Linked DNA regions of Nothobranchius furzeri. The protein of the gene in region 2 purifies or fractionates together with the protein of the main gene of each other region. This does not show direct contact. Links are inferred from orthologs where the notes say so. Each region holds a gene or a part of one and is shown on either strand. Other genes may lie near its edges. The genes, in order: irf9, stat1a and proto-oncogene tyrosine-protein kinase Src.

Region 1 (6,502 bases), on a different chromosome or scaffold from region 2:
CAGCTCGACGGCAGCAAAATGTCTCCAGATTATCGAGTTCCTCCGATCGTCATGTACGAACGCAAAGATTCAAGATGGACGCTCAAAGACAAACACACGTAAGAATCAGCGGGGGGGTGGCCTGAGGTTCACCACCACCACTCGGGTAGTCTGTGGTTTAAACCAGGCTCACGTGAGCCGAGCACTAAACTTCATCACACCTGTATGACTAAACTCACGGAGTTGCCACCTTCTGATTGGCTGATCGGTTATTTGTGTACCTATCAAAGTGGCCGGCGCGTGTAACTGATGATCTCCGTGGGTCTGTTCAGGATCATGCTGCGGCAGTGGGAGGAGATCCGGGATGTCGCCAGCCAGATGCTGGATTCTGGTGACCACTCCCTCTTGGTAGACTTCGACAGCCACCTGGATGACATCACCAGGGACTGGACCAATCAGAAACTCAACAGCAAGATAGCAGAGCTTTGCTCTCCAGTTAATGGGAACATTTAGATGGGAACGCCGCATCATTCCGTGGTAAAACCTGCCTGTCGTGTTGTTCTGTAAAGGTGGATTTTCACAAGCGCAGAGTCCAGGACAGGATTTATTTGTGTTTGAACAAAGACAAACGTGCATAAATAATAGAATATTTACATCTCTCCCCTTTTTAAGGTGGATTAAATCCACCTTAAGAACTAAAGCTACTCCTCTTGTTTATTTCTGGTCCCGTTTTCCTGATTTATCATCTTGGAAAAGCAAAAACTCGAACGTAAAAGTCCTGCAGCGACAGATTAGACGAATTCAGCTGCTGGAGCTTTTTACTGTCGCATCAAACCTGCATGAAATTATTATTCCCTACAAATTTCCCCAGATTAAAGGATTATGTTTTAGCTTATGCTTGTATTTATTACTTATTTTTATTAGTGTGATCCTTAAAAACTCCTTGCGTGGTTTAAGAGTAAAAGTATTTGCTGCAGGACATTTAAGTCTCATTTAAACTCGACTGACCTTTCTGTAACAATCTGAACCTTTTATAATCTAGATTATAGTCTGAGCTCTAAGACGGTAAAAGTAATGCTGAAGTAATATCTGAGGCGAGTTTCACAGAAAATGTTTTATGTTGGAGCGCCGGTTTTAATGTTTCTTTTTTCAATGAACATTTTCAGATAAAATCAGTAAAAACTAAATTCTGAGGAGAAAAACGATCATTTCTAAAAGCTAATAAAAGAGAACTAAAGCATTTAACAACAATAAAACGTCATTTTCACTGCCCACGTGGTTTTGTGGTTTCTTCACTCTAAACGTCTGAAGTTGCCGATGCAGCACAGACAAACCTGGGCCGACCGTTAAAAGCACCTCAAAAATAAAGTGACACCAGATCTCAGCCTGGGTGAATCCCAACGACGCCCCGGGTTATCGTGTAGTGTTCCCACTAAAGGTGCTTCACTCATTTTCAGCTTTAAACTGAAAAACTGGATCTTCTCTCCGTCCTTTTGTGAAATTGGATTAAACGTAAAAGAAAAACTGCAACAGCAGGAACCATCGAGTCTCTGGGCGGAGCTCCTGCTGCGTCTGCTTCAGGTGGGTTTTGCTGCAGCAGATCTTTTGGCGGAGCAGGCGCAGGACTACGGCACCGTGACGATGTCCAGGGTGATCTCACCCAGAGGAGACTGGCCCGCCAGCGTCTGGAACACCGAGATGGTTTCGAAGAAGGAGACGGAGTTCTGGACTTGTTGTTCGGCCCACGGGAGAGAGACCTACGGAGCAGACGGCAGGTTCAGTTAGATGATCCACAGGAGCCCGTTGGTCTGACACCAGGTGTGTGAGCAGAGAAGCATCTAACACCTGAAGGACACCCGGGGCTTCATCCTTACCAACACCAACACACACACCTGCAGCAGGCCCACACCTGTCCCACCCCTCCTACACACCTGCTGTCTACCATAAATATAACTGTTATAAATGGAGCTGCTTATTGGAGGCGTTTCACACGTAACCATGACAACGGGCTGAAATCCACGCCCTGCGGCGTGACGTAGGCTGCTGAGCCGCGGTTCTACCTGAGCGATGATGAGCTTATTGCTCAGGTCTTCCGTGTTGTTCAGCTCTTCTCCGAAACACAGATTGAAGCTGGTCTGGGGACGCTCCCCACCGGCGGAGCAGAACCGGTCCAGTTCTGAGGAGACATGACAGAAACATCTGTCTCTGTGTGTGGTGGTTTCCATGACGATTCAGGGTGAACGCGCCCCGCTCACCTTGCTTGAAGGCGTCCTTGCTGAAGAGCAGCACCGGCTCCGTGTTCCTCTCCATCCTGTGTGGGCCCGGCGTGACGCTGTGAGGTCCCATCCAGAAGATCCGGCCCTGGCAGAACCTCTTCCCGTACACTCCCTGTGGCGTGGAGGTCAGCACGATTCCTTTCTCCATGAAGGGCAGCAGCGTGTGGAGCGCCTGCAGCGTGGGCCCGGCCAGCAGCGAGGACGGCGGCTCCGGCAGCGGGATCCGAGGAAACCTGGCGTTCAGGGCGGCCAAAGTCGGAGGGACGGAGGAGGAAGGCAGGTACGTTATCCGGACATCTGTGCCTTGGATCTGACGTCTGAGGACTTCCTGTCCTAAATAACGAATCGCCACATCGAAGGAGTCGTCAGCTGTAGAGACACAGGACCGAATTAAAACCCAAAACCCGTCCAGGACACGGGCGTCCCCTGAGCTCCTCTTACCGCTTGTTGCGCTGGGAACGCTCTCCTCGATCCGCACGTCCAACCGGATCTCATCCAGCGCTGCAGACAGAAGATGGACGAATCAGACACACAAACAGGTTCCGAGAACCCGCTGAAGGTCAGAGGTCACGTCCCGTTTAAAGAGAGAAGCTAAAGGTAGACGGGAAAAACGGTTTCCATGGAAACTCACCATCTCCGGTGCTGATGGTGGTGCACCGAGACGGGCCCTCTGATTGGACGGGCTCGTGGTTCTGCAGCAGCGGCTCGTCCACACACAGCTGATCAGAACAAACAGAAACGATGACGACCCAGAGGAACTCCAGAACCTTTAATCCCACGAACAGCAGATGACCGAAGGACTCACCGGCTGAGACGCGACCTCTTCTGTCTTTATCAGTCTGACCCGACCGGAGTCTTCGTCGTCAGGCTGGCTCTTCCTCCTCTTCAGCTTCCTGCTGCTCTTCTCTCTGGTCTTCTTCTCCGGTATCACCACACCTGGACCGAGAGCGGACGAGCCACTGTTTAAATGATGGCTGATAAAAAAATGAAAGCAGATGAAATTCTTTAGTCGGTGCCGGTTCTGTTTAAAACCTCCCTTCTGCTGAGATCGGATCCAACAGAACTGGGTTTGTGCTCCTCAGACCATCACAAACATCCTTTCATTTGAGTCGTGAGGGGGCGACGGTGGCACAGGAGTTAAGAGCTCGCCCCGTAATCGGAAGGTTGCAGGTTCGAGCCCCGCTTAGTCTGTCGCTGTCGTTGTGTCCTTGGGCAAGGCACTTAACCCCCTTGCCTGCTGGTGGTGGTCGGAGGGACCGGTGACGCCAGTGCTCGGCCGCCTCGCCTCTGTCAGTGCGCCCCAGGGCAGCTGTGGCTACATCGTAGCTCATTCCCACCAGTATGTGAATGGGTGAATGACTGATTGTGTTGTAAAGCACCTTGGGGGGTTCAGGACTCTAGAAGGCGCCATATCAAATACAGACCATTTACCACGAGGAGCTTTTCTGGGCTCAGACGCTTCTAGTTTCTGTTTGAGTCGGGCGTCGTTGAGCTGGGAAAGGCCCGACATGATGAGGTCAAACAATTATTTTATATTTAAAGCAAAAAAAAAAATAAAATAAAATACACCACAAAACAGTAGAATTATTCACTTTTACGTCAGAAAAACTATTTTTAGACCTTATCTAAAACCTTTAAGATCTTCACAAAAATATTTAAGCTAATTTAAGGTGAAATTTAAATATAAAACCTGTTTTTTTACTTCTTTGCTCAGTACAAATCTGTTATTGTCCTTTAAATCATTTATGTCACATTTTTAAGCACTTTCATAAACTTTCAAGCATTTCAAGCACCCAAAAGACCTCCTCATATTTGGTCTTATTTGTAGTTAATTGCTTGTTTGATGCAAAAGTGTGAAACTAAACTCAAAAGGTTTGTTTTAAATGATCAGATTCACTAAATCTAATGAATTAATTCAGCCTGATCAAAGGGTCTTACCGCCAACGCCCCTCTGCCAAGAAGCAGTGATGGTTTTTAATAAACGTACATTTTCCCTAAGAACTAACTTATCAGAACAATTCAGGTCGTCTTCATGGAAGTTTGCTTCCAGAATCATCTTTTTAAACTCGATCAGAGACTTAAATCATTAGCAAAAATCGGTATCGGCCCACTGCCCCGATCAGTGCATAAAAAGCAACACGAGGGAGTGTGAGTAAAATTCAGCTTTGTTATCTTAAAGTTTCACTTTTTTTATTATTATAAAGCAGCAGTAGCTCAGGAGGTAGAGCGGGTTGTCCAGTAATCGGAAGGTTGCAGGTTCGATCCCGGCTCCGGACAGAGAATTCTGCTATTGTGTCCTTGGGCAAGACACTTAACCCACCTTGCCTGCTGGCGGTGGTCGGAGGGACCGGTGGCGCCTGTGCTCGGCAGCCTCGCCTCTCATCCCCACCAGTGTGTGAATGTGTGTGTGAATGGATGAATGATGCACTGTAGTGTAAAGCACTTTGGAGTCCTGACTCTGAGAGGCGCTACACAAGTGCGGCTCATTTTTTATTATTAATAATTTTTTATCATTAAAGCCCGACTTGCCCCGTTTTAATAAAGTTTAAAAAATAAAGTATCAGGTTACCCGATGGAGTAAATAATCCCTTTTCTCTTATTTGACTGTATAAAAACAAAACTCGTGGCTGAGTCACCGACCAGCTGAGCCTGACTCGTGGAAGCCGCTGCATCATAAACCCGAGCTGGTTGGTAGGTTGACGCCCTGCGTGAATAAAGACCTGCCTCCCAGAACACGGCTAAAGTCCACCCAGCTGATCTGATCCCAACACGTCTGCCTGGAGCTTCAGCTGACTCGACAGAAACGGGCCTGACTCGTAAACTACGTCACAGACAAACATCGTGATCAGGAGCCGCTCAGACAGAAACAGGAAACGAACGTCTGCCATGGCTGGTGTTCATGAGACCGCAGCAGCACTCCGCGTTTAACGTTTATCTGATACTCCAGACCAGAACCGAGCTCTGGTATAACTCATCCCAGCTGATGGACTCAGACTTGTGAAGTAAACAAGATCAAGTCTGGATTCATTCTCAGTTATGATAAAACCAAATCATGCTGGCTGCTTTCCTTTGTTTAAAAAGTGTGTGTGTGTGTGTGTGTGTGTGTGTGTGTGTGTGTGTGTGTGTGTGTGTGTGTTTGCTAAAGACGTGCCTTTCACTGGTTCGGTCCCACGGTTCTGTTGTAACCTCTTGACTTCCTGAGACGGGAGGGGGCAAGAGGGGTATCCCTTATCTTGGATAAGAATCCAGGTGCAAATGAGCTAATGGTGTTATAGGAACAGATCGTGGACTCTTAGAATCGATAAGCCCACTAACAAGCAAGAAGGAGAGAAGATTTACTGTCCCCCCCCCCCCCCCCCCCCCCCCCCCCCCACAACCATAAAGGAGGCTGAGAAGAAGAAGGGGCAACGTTGGGCTAGGTCACCAGAGCCCAAGGAGAGACGACATGGGCTGGCTCGGACCACAGCCAGCAGAGCCTGCCGGAGGAGAGGAAACACGTGACCAGACGTTGAGCTCCAGAAGCAGGATGGGGGTGTTGCCATGGAGATGCAACCCTTGAAGAATGCAGAGGGGAGGAGGAACAGAGTGAATCAAAAGGAGGACTGAGCTTTTTGGAGAGAGGCTTCTGAGAGTTTTTAGGAGAGGGTGTTTTTGGTGGAAGAGAGTTTTGTCTGTGTGACCCGCTGGGACGGGAACTGGATGATATATCTTTTTCTGCTTTTTCATCTGTGTGTGGAATAAAATTCGTTTCTCACTGCGAGGAACTTAAAAAGAACCCACGGTCTCTGGGGGTGTCCTCTGTCGGTAATCTACAAGAAAGGTGAGGCGCTGATTACCGGTATCCCATTCCAAAGGTTTGAATGCTATTAGCTGCTACAACCATCCTGTTTCCTCAGCATGAAGGGACAGCCATCTGTACCCGAGGCATTCATGAGCCCAAGGATTAGCGAGAGTGTACTGGTGTAACTGAAGTCTTCCTTGTGTCTACTTAAACGTATATTGGTCAGAATTAGAAGCCCTGGGTGATTCGGTGATTGCTAATCAACTCTCTACATAGTTAAAGGCTGTTTACTGGCAATTACACGGATCGCAGGCCAAACCTGAGAGTTTAAAAGCATCTGAATTAAGAGCGGAGCTAGTCCGGCACTTTGGCTTGCAGCGCTAGCATTCCTCGGATGTGTGGTTTCACATCCGGACAGAGACGAAGGAATGTCCCCAGACAGACCTCTGATCTCACGTCTCACCCT
Region 2 (6,502 bases):
GAAGTTGTTCTCCAGAGCAAAGCGGCTGTGCTGATCATCCAGCTGAGCCAGGAGCTCGTGAAACCGAACAGTTGCCAGGGAGTCCTGTGATGCCACCGTATCCCTAAGAAGATCCAAAACAACAACGGAGTTATCTTACAGAGGTCCCACCACGGTTACGCCAGATGTTGAAGGGCACCGTTCATAAAAGCTTTATTTATAAAACATTTTAAACACCTACAGCACCAAAGTGATGTGTAGAAAAATAATAAAACAGGCTACGTAATAAAAATAGTTACAGCAAAAAGACCTACAAGTAAGGAAAAATAATTATGCAATCAGTCAAGATAAAAATGAAAAGTTTAATAAAAAAAAAAAGAAAAACAATTTAAAGCTAATGCCTTTTGTAGGGTTAGGGTTAAACAAGATGGGGTTGAGGACTGCCTGATGTCCAAGGGAAGGTGGTTCCATAATTCAGGAGCAGTTAAAGCAAAGACATGGTCTCCACTGAACTTACAGTTTCTCCTGCATAGGCGCAGGAGTGGAGCTGCACCACGGCTGAAATTCTAGCACCACATCTACGAGACACCCCCCACAGGAGACGCAGCATTGTAGCATTTTGCGAGCAGAACCCAGGCGACATGACTGGCAACAATTCTAGGGGAAACACTGACTTACGCTTTAGGGCTGCAACAAACGATTATTTGGATAATCGATGAATCGGATGGGGTCTCGACACGATTAATCGGATTACATAGGGACAATTTTAAAAACTGCTAGGGAAACGTTATTTCTCTCCTTCCTTCACTTTATTAAACACAACATTATTAGAAAACAGTTCAATAGCAGAAAAACAACATGCCATCACCTAAATTGTCTTACAAGGTGTATAGGCAGAGACCCTAAGCTACACCTATCTGTGACCTAAAATGCTTGGTCCAAGTTAAACAGCTTAAAGAGCAAGTCAACCCCTACCAGAGTCTAACTCCACTCCCACTTCATGTTTGAAAAATGCAACAAATGCTGTTGCCTGGCAGACCGAGAGGGCGGAGCCGCTAACAAATACACACACACTCAGGCTCACGACAGCATTGTGACATCATAATGTACCAGTTTACATCATAGCATACTTCTTAGCCAATAGCGGTGGCAGATTTAAATTAAAATACAGTGCAGAGTTTTTACCTGACAACGGCACAACACTGCCAGTTTTAGGCAGAATATTTAAATTTGAACTAAGATGCACTGAAGTAGAGCTGCTCGATTATGGCAAAAATAATAATCACGATTATTGTGACTGAAATTGAGATCTCGATTATTTAAGACGATTTTTCTATTTATGTTGATTTTATTTGTTTTTATTCAGTCATAAAATTGCTCAGGGCACAATCAGGACAAAATAAAGTTAAAGTTAAAGTCCCATTAGTTGTCACACACACTGATGTGTGTGCGAAATTTGTTCTCCGCATTTGACCCATCCCCTGGGGGAGCGGTGAGCTGCAGACACAGCCGCGCTCGGGAACAATTTGGTGGTTTAACCCTCCAATCCAACCCTTAATGCTGAGTGTCAAGCAGGGAGGCATTGGGTCCCATTTTTTCAAAGTCTTTGGTATGACCCGACCAGGAATCGAACCCTGATCTCCCAGTCTCAGGGCGGACACTCTACCACTAGACCACTGAGCTGGTGTGTGATAAGAAACAAGATGATCACTAAAATAACTCCTGATTCCCAGTATAAAAAGACCAATATACTTACAGCTCATAGTTTATGACACAAGGGCTATAGACCTTGGTTTAACTCATATAAGTCTAACCAGTACAGACCCAAATACCAATATCTTGCAAATACTGACAGCAAGAATTATACAGTGGCATTTATAACAAATAAATGCAAATAAATTGATGTTCACAAAATGTTGTATAACATTTATTGAGTCGTGTCAAGGTGCTGTAGGAGCGTGCACTAGCACTGTCTCCTCAGAGAGATTAGTTATTGTTTATCAGCGTGAGGAACTTATTTCTACCTTATTTATAAACTAGTTATTTACAAGTCCATCAGTTAATGTAATAATTGTCCCAACCACAGCTGCACCCCCCACCTCCCAACCCGGTCTCACAGCAATCAGGGGCAAGCTGCACGTGTGTTTAGCGCGCCGCACGCGCACATTTAGCCGTTTTTAGCGGCTCAGAAGTTACAGTGTGTGTGTCACTCACTCTGGTTAATCCAACAGAGCCAACTCTGAGAGCCGTTTCTGTAGCGACCGACACATCACTACATCATTCCCTTTCCTAATGTTGTGAAGAACGGTCCGGAGCTCAGGCAGAGTGTTTAGCTAACCTGCAGGAAACATCAACGACAGTTATCCTGAAAGTAGCTAAAGGTTACCAGAGATGTTTCTGAGATGTTCGCTAGGTACTTTTAAGATTTAAAAAGTCAAGAAGGGGGTCTAAAAAGCTGTTAGAAATAGCGTCAAAGTCGCTAAGTTGGCAACACTGTGAGGAGCGCTTCATTTGCAACTCAGGGCAGCGCAAGTGGGAGGAGCAAATAATCGGCTTGTTTTGTTTTTTATAATCGTTCAAAACTCAGATCGTAATCGTGATTAAAATTCGATTAATTGAGCAGCCCTACACTGAAGTGCCAAATTATTGACGACACGTGTCTGCAGCACGATTAGACACTCATTTATTTAGTTTATCAGCAAAAAATAAAGTTTATTTGGGGGTGACTTGCTCTTTAAGGGCAATTCTCATCTGTTTTGTTTGATCTCATCTGCAGACATTTATTATAATTGGGGATGTTAAACAACTAATTTTTAAATGTAATTAAACATAGGCTGTGAATTAATCAAAATTAATCACTATTTCCAAAAATGACTGAAAAAATACCAAATAAAACAAAAGTAAATGAATGCCATCCTCCTTACGATGATGCCCTGGGCAACTGCCATAAAGTCACATCAAGAAATGCTGCTGATCATTCCAATGATCCCAAATAGACTCACATTAGGCCACATGAAAGCAACTGAACCCAAAAATATATTAACCAGTAAATAACTGCACTCTCACACAACACGCCTGCAGCAACAGTTAGGACTCCTCCCTCCCTTTTAAAAGCGTTTTCGCTTCTGAGGACATTGTGGTGCTAGTAGTCTGGCCCCGGTGTGATCAACCAGTTTCTGCGGGAATGTGACGGCGGAACCGGTTCGCAGCAGCGCGAGTCCCCCCCCCCCCCCCCTTTATCTAATAGCGTTGCGCTTACGATTTTATAGACTTTTTTTAACGAGCTTAGGGCATGTCTAGCCTGTGTAATAATCCGGGACTTGGGTGAATCACTTTTGAAAAGTTTTTAACTTACCCGGACAAAGAGCTCTCTCCCTCCTCGCTGATGATTCCGACATGCTTGCTTTTAAGATGCTGCATCATCACTGCAGTACTCCCGTGCCATGCTAAGTCTGACCTACAAACGTTGCAGGTAACGAATGTCTTCGCCTGATTTAACTGAAAATGCTCCCAAACTTTAGAAGTTTTTACTTTTTTGGGTCTTGCTGCTTCTGCCATGTTCCTCTTCCAAACACCTGCCGGCTCTCCCTCGCGCTGATCTGACTTGCTCCAGTCTGCGCGCAATGGCGGCCAGGAGGGGGGGCTTTTGGAAGAGTTGTGCGACACAACGAATCGATGACGCAATTCGTTGCCAACGCTTTTAGTAATCGATTTTCATCGAATTTATCGATTCGTTGTTGCAGCCCTATTACGCTTCATCCATATCACTCTCAGAAGCAGCTGATCAGCTGACCAAAGGGGACAACATGATTTGCAGGGACGCAGCAGCCCCTTATTTAGTTTTCTACCCGGACAGTGATTTTCCATCTAGGGTTGGACTTCTTACCAGTCGATGCTCTCAATCCACCTGCTCAGATATTGTCGGATGTCCATGGGGAAGGAGTCGTCGTACAGCTGGTCCACCTGCTCCAGGTACTTAGAGTCCAACATCTGAAGCTGGACCCACTGCGCCATCTTCTGGTGAACAAGAGCAGGTGCATGATAAATTAGGAAATTAGGGGACAAAGAGCTTGAGGCCCAATCCCAATAAACGCATTAAGGTGTTAAGTGAGCAAATAATTGCAGAATTGCGACAGGGAGCATTGTGTAAGCAACCGCAACACATGCTGGGATGCTGGTCGCTGTGCTACTTAATAAAGTTTATTTTTATTGTTTTTAACAATTTTCAAACAATTATTTTAAATACATTTACAATGATTGCTGCTTTGTCTAAAACATTCAGAGCATCAACTAATCGTCCTAAAATGAAGTATTTTAATTTGAAAATACATATTTAAAAGGCACTTGAGCCTTTTCTCCCTAAGCAATGGATTGTGGGTAATAAACTTCACCCAAGTTTGGATTGATGCGGACTTGGGTGAAGCGCAGATCAAGGGTGCAAAAGGGGTATGGTCAACTTCCGCACTTGAGAACCGGGACACTTTACGCACTCGCACCCTTGGTCAGGATTGCGCAATTGAAGAGTGCAATTGTGGAAGTACGAGTATTGGGATTGGGCCTGGAAAACCACTGAAAAATATCTTACATGATTATTTCTGATTATAATCGGTCACGCTGAGATTTTCATGCAGGCTGAACCTGAAAATAGTCTCCAACACCTATCTCCTGCATTAGCTTCTGATAGACAGTCTGCTGCCCCTCTCTGAGGCAGCAGACTTGCCCGTGCTGATCCAAGCATTTCTGGGCTTTATTTTCCTCCGAGTACGACTTACTAGGCATTCATTCCTACCAGACCACTGCAAATGTAATGATTAAATGACTTTCCCCCACCTTCAGTTTAATGTATCATCAACTGGACTAAATGATTAACCCTCTCAGGCTCAAAATAAGTTTTGATAAAAGGATGAACAACTAAGTCCTTCAGGGGTACTTCTGAGTTAAAAATGATCATGAAATAGGTATGTGGAGTAGGGTTGTCACGATACTAAAATTTCAAACTCGATTCGATACTGGAAAAAAACTCTACTCGATTTTGATACTATTTGAAAACACCAATTTATTGAACAAGTTTATTCAAAAATAACATTCCTCAATTTATATTGCAAAAATTAAATGTTAAGAATTAAGTGCATTAAGTGCTTAAACCTTTCAAGTATCAGCATTTTTTAAAACATGCATACAAAAACTGGCGAAAGTTAACACTTTAAATCATGAATTGTCTCACTATATATACACTATTTGCAGAGTGATGTTTTGCTGCTTAAACTCTGTTTAAGGTGCATTTTTGTCATAAGCTGTAATGCCATATGTTTTGTTCTGTACTTCTGAACAACTCTGTTGGTCAATAAAGGGAGAAAACGAATTTCTCCACAGTAGGACAAAGGTACATCTACCGGTAATCTAATAAAAACAGATTGGCGCACGGCGGTGACGTCATTAAAAGCGCCGGTTAGATTAGCCGCGGCTAGTCTGTTTACGCCTAGAAATCCCAGACTCGCTCCAAACGAACAGGGGAATCACGTTAATGATTCCTAACAAAACCTTTCGACATTGAGATGTTTTGGTGCAGATAATGTTTTATTTCGAGGCTGCACCATGGGTGCCCGTCCGCACCCGTTATATGGATATACGCTGACGGCGATTCGCCGACGGATCTAAATACTCCGGGGAATCCAAGTAGCACCAAAGTTGTCAGCGTGAGTAAACAAACATACTGCATGCTAGAAATTAAGTCTGGGTTGCAATAAACGGGAGTTTTCCTTTAAGCACATAAGCGTGAATATACAACTACGTGTCGGACTTGGTATGCTAATTAAGTTGGGCTGTGAAGCGCCTCCCAAATTCGCTGTTTATGTTTTTGTTTATTTATTTGGCAGACAAAACTTGGATCGGAGACAACTCGCGTGGAAAATTGCAATGTAGCCATGCGGCGTCTTCTTCTTCTGTTTGTCTGGGAGGCAGAGGCTGCTTTACGGCATCTGGCTGTCGTGCGTGTCGGTGTACTTGAAGAAGGCTGTGTATAATAGTCCATAATATCGATACCACAGGGATGGAATATCTAATTTAGATACCACTTTAGTATCGATTTATATCTAGGTATTGATTTTTTTGACAACACAAATGTGGAGTAACCAGGTAGGTAGGTTTTAACCATGGTTTTAACTGTTGCAAATCTGCAACGCCTGCCTCCAGAGGGTTAAAAATAAAAACATTGGAGTGATTTTTCTCCCCCCAGGGAGGAGCTGGAGTGATTCAATGAGAAGGACCCGATACCTCCAAGTTTAGACAAACGGATGGACTGACTTTCAGACAAAAGAGTTAATCAGTTTCTTTGAGCAGGATTAATATTAAAGGCGGAAAGCTTACTGAAAGGACAAAGATGTTCTCCGAGAACACGAGCTGTTTGAGTTTCACACTACTGAACAATTAAGTCAAACTTTTCAACATTATCTGAAAAGAATTCACTCTACGTTCTCAAGAAATCCCAGTAGTCTGAATGATCCATGGAAGCTCTCTAGTTTCC
Region 3 (6,502 bases), about 25 Mb from region 2:
ACTTGACACTGGACTTCAGGCATTTTGGCATTTCCCTCTGCCCAGTCTTCCTCCAGACTCTGGCACCTTGATTTCCGAATGACATGCAAAATTTGCTTTCATCCGAAAAAGGTACTTTGGACCACTGAGCAACAGTCCAGTGCTGCTTCTCTGTAGCCCAGGTCAGGCGCTTCTGCCGCTGTTTCTGGTTCAAAAGTGGCTTGACCTGGGGAATGCGGCACCTGTAGCCCATTTCCTGCACACACCTGTACACGGTGGCTCTGGATGTTTTACTCCAGACTCAGTACACTGCATCTGCAGGTCCCCCAAGGTCTGGAATCGGTCCTTCTTCACAGTCTTCCTAATGGTCCGGTCACCTCTTCTCATTATGCAGCGTTTTCTGCCACACTTTTTCCTTCCCACAGACTTCCCTCTGAGGTGCCTTGATACAGCACTCTGGGAACAGCCTATTCGTTCAGAAATTTCTTTTTGTGTCTTACCCTCTTGCTTGAGGGTGTCAATGATGGCCTTCTGGACAGCAGTCAGGTCGGCAGTCTTACCCATGATTGCGGTTTTGAGGAATGAACCAGGCTGGGAGTTTTTAAAAGCCTCAGGAAACTTTTGCAGGTGTTTAGAGTTAATTAGTTGTTTCAGAGGATTAGGTTAATAGCTCGTTTAGAGAACCTTTTCATGATATGCTAATTTTTTTAGATAGGAATTTTGGGTTTTCGTGAGCTGTATGCCAAAATCATCAATATTAGAAACAATAAAAGGCTTGAACTACTTCAGTTGTATGTAATGAATCTAATATATATGAAAGTCTAATGTTTATCAGTACATTACAGAAAATAATGAACTTTATCACAATATGCTAATTTTTTTTAAAGGACCTGTAGCACTCCCGCAAATGTGGGCCATTGATTGCAAATAAGATTTGTCCATTTCCACACACAAAAAAGGGATTTTGCTAACAAATCCATTCCAGCCCATGTTGCAAAAATGAGTACACCCCAATTATAGTCTTAGGAAAAAAGCCACACTTAAGACTACAAAATTCTAATGAACAGGCATTCAACCACAGGTGAGTCTAATGATTCATTTAAGAGGTGTCCAGCAGACAGGTGACTATCTAAATGCATTACCTAGCAAAGAAAAGCTGTTCCCATTTCATACTGTCAGCAATGGCGCCACATGGAAGAGAAATAACAAAATCTGAGAAAGAAATCATTTCTTTACACAAAAAAGGTGAAGGCTACAAGAAGATCAGCAAAGCTTTACATATCAATCAAAATACTGTAGCAAAATGATCCAAAGTTTAAGAAAGATGGAAGAGCAACCATCTTACAGAGACGTCCAGGCCATCTATACAAGTTAACACTTCGACAGGAGCATCTTCTGATAAGAAGGGTTGAAGAAAATCGCCATGCAAGTTCACTACAGTTAGCTATAGCAGACCGTTTCCTGTGACACCATACGGCGCACACTGCAGAGGAATGGCATGCATGGGTATTGTCCACGAAGGAAGCTCCTCCTAAAGCCCATGCACAAAAAAACACTCCAAGTATTTGCTAGGGCCCATGCTGAAAAAGATTGACTACTGGGACTCCAGACTCTGGAGTGATGAGACAAAGATCAGTTTTTGGAACTAATGGTTTCAAAACTGTGTGCTGTTGTAAAGGTGAGGATTTCAAAGAGAAATGCATGGTGCCTACAGTGAAACACGGTGGTGGCAGTGTCCTTATGTGGGGCTGCATGAGTGCTGCTGGTGTTGGGGTGCTGGTATCATGAACTCAACAATGTACTACTCTATTCTGAAGGAGAAGATGCTGCAATCACTTTTCCAACACTAGCCTAGTGAACTAGACCAAATTCTTGCTTTGCAAAGAATGGTCTAGACACGCTCCATTGGAACCTCAGCAGCTCCTACCAGGACTCTGGCTGGCCAATCACAGCTCTCTAGAGGGGTTTCAAACACATAAAGAGCTGTGATTGGTCCATAATGGTGGGCCAATCATAGTGCTCTATCTGCTTAGTGAACAAATCACAGAGCTTTATCCGCTTTGTGGGCCAATCAGGGCACTCTATATGCCTGGTGGGTGGGATGATGCCACAGAGTGAAACAAGAGTATGTCACATTCATTGTCCAGTGGAATGCGGAGATCATTTGAAAGACAACGGTAGAACCCGCCCCACAACCGAGAGCCGTCAACGGAGCATGGCCAGACTAAATAATACATTTATTTAGTCTGGCTTGCCAGGCTATTCCAACACGACAATGAACCAAAACACACATCTAAAGCTACTGTTGCATTTCTGAAGAAGAACAGGGTGAAGGTGCTTGAATGGCCAAGTATGTCTCCTGATCTGAACCCAATCAAACACCTGTGGAGAATTCTGAAGCAGCAAGTTGAGCCTCAATCTCCATCCAGCATCCAGGCTCTAAACGAGGTTATTCTTGAAGAATAGAAAACGACAGATGTTGCAATATGTCGCCAACTTGTTCATTCCATGCCTAGAAGACTTGGTACTGTCCTTGAAAATCATGGTGGTGTTACAAAATACTAGATGTAGTAGATTTTGTTGGGGGTGTATTCACTTTTTGCTTCAACCAATTTTAGTAAAAGTTTGTGTGATCTATGTTATATTATAAAGCTTCATTTAATTTTAAGGAGTTAGACAAGTGTTCAATAAATCCCAGCCAAAATTCTGGAAATGGTTCTTTTGTTCATTAAGCAACTAATTAAATTCATACTTTTTAAAAGGGGGTGTACTCATTTATGCTGAGCACTGTAGATCTGAGTGTCCTCTATGCTACATCTATGTTGGTATTGAATGTCATCTTTATGGAAAATATTGTCAATTTAAGGAAGAGGTAGATGATAAACAGGAGAGATCCAAGTACAGAGGCAGGGGGAACACCAGAATTAAGGGGAGGATGGTTGAGGTGTAAAGCTTTAATCTGAACCAAAAATAATTTAATTTATGCCTGTCTGCCTGTATCTGTCCTGTCTATATATGTGTGTGTAACCTTGGTCAGGTTGTACTATGGAGTCAAGTTCCTATGCTCTGATCTGATCTGAGCGCTGGCAATAAAATTCATTCTGATTCTGATTATATCTGAAATGTATTTTTAACTAAATCTAGATCATTTTTTACAGAAGAATTCTGTATGTTTTAATTTAACCATTTATTAGGTCTATATTCAGCTTTCTAAACCTCTTTGTTTTACAAAAACCTGCCACAATCTAATTTCCTACCTGACAGCAGTCCTCTGTAGGGTGATATGACACTTCCCGTGTGGTCCACTCCTCCAAAGAGAGACAGTTCAGGGGTATTTGTCGGGGCAAGCTGGCGCTGCCCTTGTTGTCCCCGACGGCCCGTCCCAACAGCAGGGCTTCGATTGGGGGTCTGGGTCTGCTGAGTGGAGTCCAAGTGGTGGAAGCGTCCGCTATCGGAGCCGGTGCCTATGGTCCCGTCCAGGCTCATGGAGCGCTGGCCTGGCTCCTTGGGCTTGCTTTTGCCCGCCCCCATGTGCAGACCTGGAACAAGAGCCAACCATCAGAAAGGATACGGTAAGACCAAAAGCTGCTACAAAAAGTAAAAGCGTCAAAAATCAATTTTTATGCAAATGAAGGGTCTCTCAGCTTTGTTATGCATTTTTCTTTCATTTTAAATGTGTTTTTTTTATAAGAAACACATTTTTTTGTGTTTCATCATGTAATGAAACACAAAAACATTCAGTAAAACTGGATTTCACTGTGGTTAAAATTATTAGTCTTCTTTAAAGCAAAGAAATATGGTTTTAAAGGATTTTCCTCAGGAACTTTTAACATATTTACCCCCCCCCCCCCCCCCCCCCAAAAGTTGGCAAATCAGTCAACACATTTATTCCAGCTCTCCCGATCCACCAGAATATCCCTGGAGCTGTTCCCAGGTCAGTTAGAACTGCTTGCGTTTACAGTAGACACAAACCACACACACAATCAGAATCCAAGGTCGTGCTTAACGGTTTAAATCAAGTTGGAATCAATAAGCATCAACGAGGTAAACAAAGCTGTAAACAGAAAGCAGCCATGGGTCTCAACGACGCAAAGTATTAATGCTGGTGAGCCGACAAGGGCACAGAGGTGTCAAATATATCTGTTACATCCCGATAAACGCAGCGAGTCGAGGGTGTGCTGTCAGTAAGCACAAAGACAAACAAGCTCACAGTCAAGAGCACCCACAGAAAGTTGGAGAGCCTTGTTCGCACACCGGTTCTGTTCCTCCCCTTCAGGCTCTGTGGAGTGACTCACTGGGAGACCAGCTATTTCAGGCCAGCTGAAACAAGACAGTCATACACACATGAAACACAGTCTTGTTCCTCTGAATTAAAGCACTCTCGATTCCAGACAAGAGCGCGCCAAAGTGCATAGGGGTGGGTGTGTGTGTTCATGTGCATTAGCAGCTGTTCCCTCGCATCTAGGAAACTAGGCTCAGCTGCACACTAGCACCCAAGTACAGTTGTGTCTCACATCCTTTTTTCCTTTCCAACACTTGATAGTTTCCAACACACACCGACAGACAGACAGACAGGACAGGACAGGGGAGGTTATTAACAGACACGGAGGAAGGAAACTGGCTGTGGCTTTAAAAAGAACGTGTGGGTGGTTGTTATGTACTGCCCGGACAGCTGAGGCTTAGTGGGTGTTTAAAGTGTGATGTGTGAGCATAACATAATTACACAGGTATGGGAATTCTCAGAGACATGGCAGCATCCCACTGAGAAGACATGTGGGCGACTCAGCTTCTGAGGGAGCGTGAATGTGCACAAATGTCAACGTGGGGGTGGGGGTCAGGGGTCAGCTTTCGCATTAGGCATTAAGAACTAAGTCAACACTATTAAGAACTAAGTCAACACTGGTTTAAAACTTACCAGAGGCACACGTGCCACACCTAGACTGCCAATACAAGCAAATAGGTAGGATGCTCATGCATATCAGGAATGTATGCAAAAATCCTCTTAAAGGTCATTTCAGGCTGTGTATGAGCGCAGGGCTAGATAATAGCACCTCATACAGAGAGCTAAGAAAGTAGGAAAAATACTATGATTTAGACTGATTACTATGTTGCTTCATCAGTATGCGTCTGCACTGTCAGTGGGTGGTGCCTACCTAAAGTGAGCTCACTTTAAAGGGCCTAAACACAAAAAACATGAAAGGATCAAGAACAGACGAGAAATTCTCAGCAGATACAGATGTTGCAACATCTAGTGGGACATGAGAAGCAACAACAAGTTCTTCCAAGGCTGTAAATAACCTCTGATGACAAAAGAACATGTTTGCTTTTACATCCATGTTCACCTGAAAGCCTGCGTGCAAATGAGCTCCTAAACATGACACATGAGTCACCGTTTACTCAAGCATGACAACCACTCAGATTGATCTGGAAACAGGCAAGGATACATTCCTGAAATGTTTTTTCCCAGTATGCATCAAAGCCAAACTGGATGATCTAGATGAGGGGTGGAACAGCAGCAGGGTGAGAGCTCAAGCTAGCTTGGGCTCGAAACAGACACATTAAACTGACCCAGGGGTCTCTAACCAGCGGCTCTGGAGCCACAAGTGGCTCTCTGGACCTTCCATAATGGTTCTTAATAACTATGACTACAAATGAGAGAAATACAACTGACCCATGTTCATAAAAACAATTTTAAAAAATGCAGATTTAAGTTGTTTTCAGTTTTTTTTATGGAATTGAAGTTCCACAGCAACAGCACTAAAAATACCAGAAGTATTTTTATATCTGTGTTTTATTTGTTTCATTTCCAACAAATCTCAACATGCCATGAAAAAAAAATATCCAAACTCCTTTTGCAAAAGTGTTTGTTTCAAGAAATGATCTCTAGAGTAGACACTAGCAGAAGAGAAACAAAGATCTCAGACTTTATTCTCAGAAAAACCTCAGAATCCTGACTTCTGAACTATTATGTTTGTTGATCACTTTGTCTTAGAGCTTGAATAAGATAAGCAGAAAAATTAAAAGGCTGCATTGATGCTGGACACGTTGTGAATTTTGGTTCATTTTTTTTCTCTTAGCTTTACAACCATGGTGCTCCTAACTATGGATGGAGGGAAACAAAAAAAAAGGGAGTAAAACCATCTACATAAATATATGGACAATGGGTTTCCATAGGCTTCAATAACAAGTTTTTCTGCTAAAATGGGAGGTAGCCACCACCGCCATTTTGACTGTGTCAAAGGTTCCGTCAAGCCCAGACAATTCCATAAAAGGGAAGAGAGGAGGAGCTGAGGGTGACGTTTAGACAGATGTTTGTGCAACTTAAGAAAGACAAAAGAAGCTACTGCTCATCTGTACTCCGTTTGGAGACAGACTTCCAGTTTGTAAACAGCAGCATTAGAAGCCCTAGGCTACGACTTCTGTTGAGTGCCGATTTGGTACATTTGTTTTTGTTTTGCCGCTGCGATCTGAGATGCGCAGAGCTGCCGCTGGGGAGAACCGGGTGCAAAGGTTACCATCTCAG

What was found.
Region 1: the proteins of stat1a (region 2) and irf9 purify together in Homo sapiens (affinity purification with western blotting; 5 studies listed by BioGRID and IntAct, with this or other methods). This does not show direct contact. The link is inferred for Nothobranchius furzeri from reciprocal best matches to the Homo sapiens genes STAT1 and IRF9.
Region 3: the proteins of stat1a (region 2) and proto-oncogene tyrosine-protein kinase Src purify together in Homo sapiens (affinity purification with western blotting; 3 studies listed by BioGRID). This does not show direct contact. The link is inferred for Nothobranchius furzeri from reciprocal best matches to the Homo sapiens genes STAT1 and SRC.

Annotation. Positions count from the first base shown.
Region 1 is NC_091747.1:62,723,870-62,730,371, reverse strand, and holds the end of irf9 (interferon regulatory factor 9), read right to left. Parts: coding exon 6,500-6,502; intron 3,192-6,499; coding exon 3,061-3,191; intron 2,975-3,060; coding exon 2,887-2,974; intron 2,757-2,886; coding exon 2,697-2,756; intron 2,625-2,696; coding exon 2,235-2,624; intron 2,156-2,234; coding exon 2,040-2,155; intron 1,737-2,039; coding exon 1,605-1,736; 3' UTR 1,084-1,604; downstream 1-1,083. Other genes in the region: emc9 (ER membrane protein complex subunit 9), read left to right, coding at 4-98, 312-492.
Region 2 is NC_091743.1:83,711,997-83,718,498, reverse strand, and holds part of stat1a (signal transducer and activator of transcription 1a), read right to left. Parts: intron 3,997-6,502; 5' UTR 3,994-3,996; coding exon 3,866-3,993; intron 104-3,865; coding exon 1-103. UniProt on the Homo sapiens protein: Signal transducer and transcription activator that mediates cellular responses to interferons (IFNs), cytokine KITLG/SCF and other cytokines and other growth factors.
Region 3 is NC_091743.1:58,648,958-58,655,459, reverse strand, and holds part of proto-oncogene tyrosine-protein kinase Src, read right to left. Parts: intron 4,300-6,502; exon of another isoform or gene 4,206-4,299; intron 3,519-4,205; 5' UTR 3,511-3,518; coding exon 3,237-3,510; intron 1-3,236. UniProt on the Homo sapiens protein: Non-receptor protein tyrosine kinase which is activated following engagement of many different classes of cellular receptors including immune response receptors, integrins and other adhesion receptors, receptor protein tyrosine kinases, G protein-coupled receptors as well as cytokine receptors.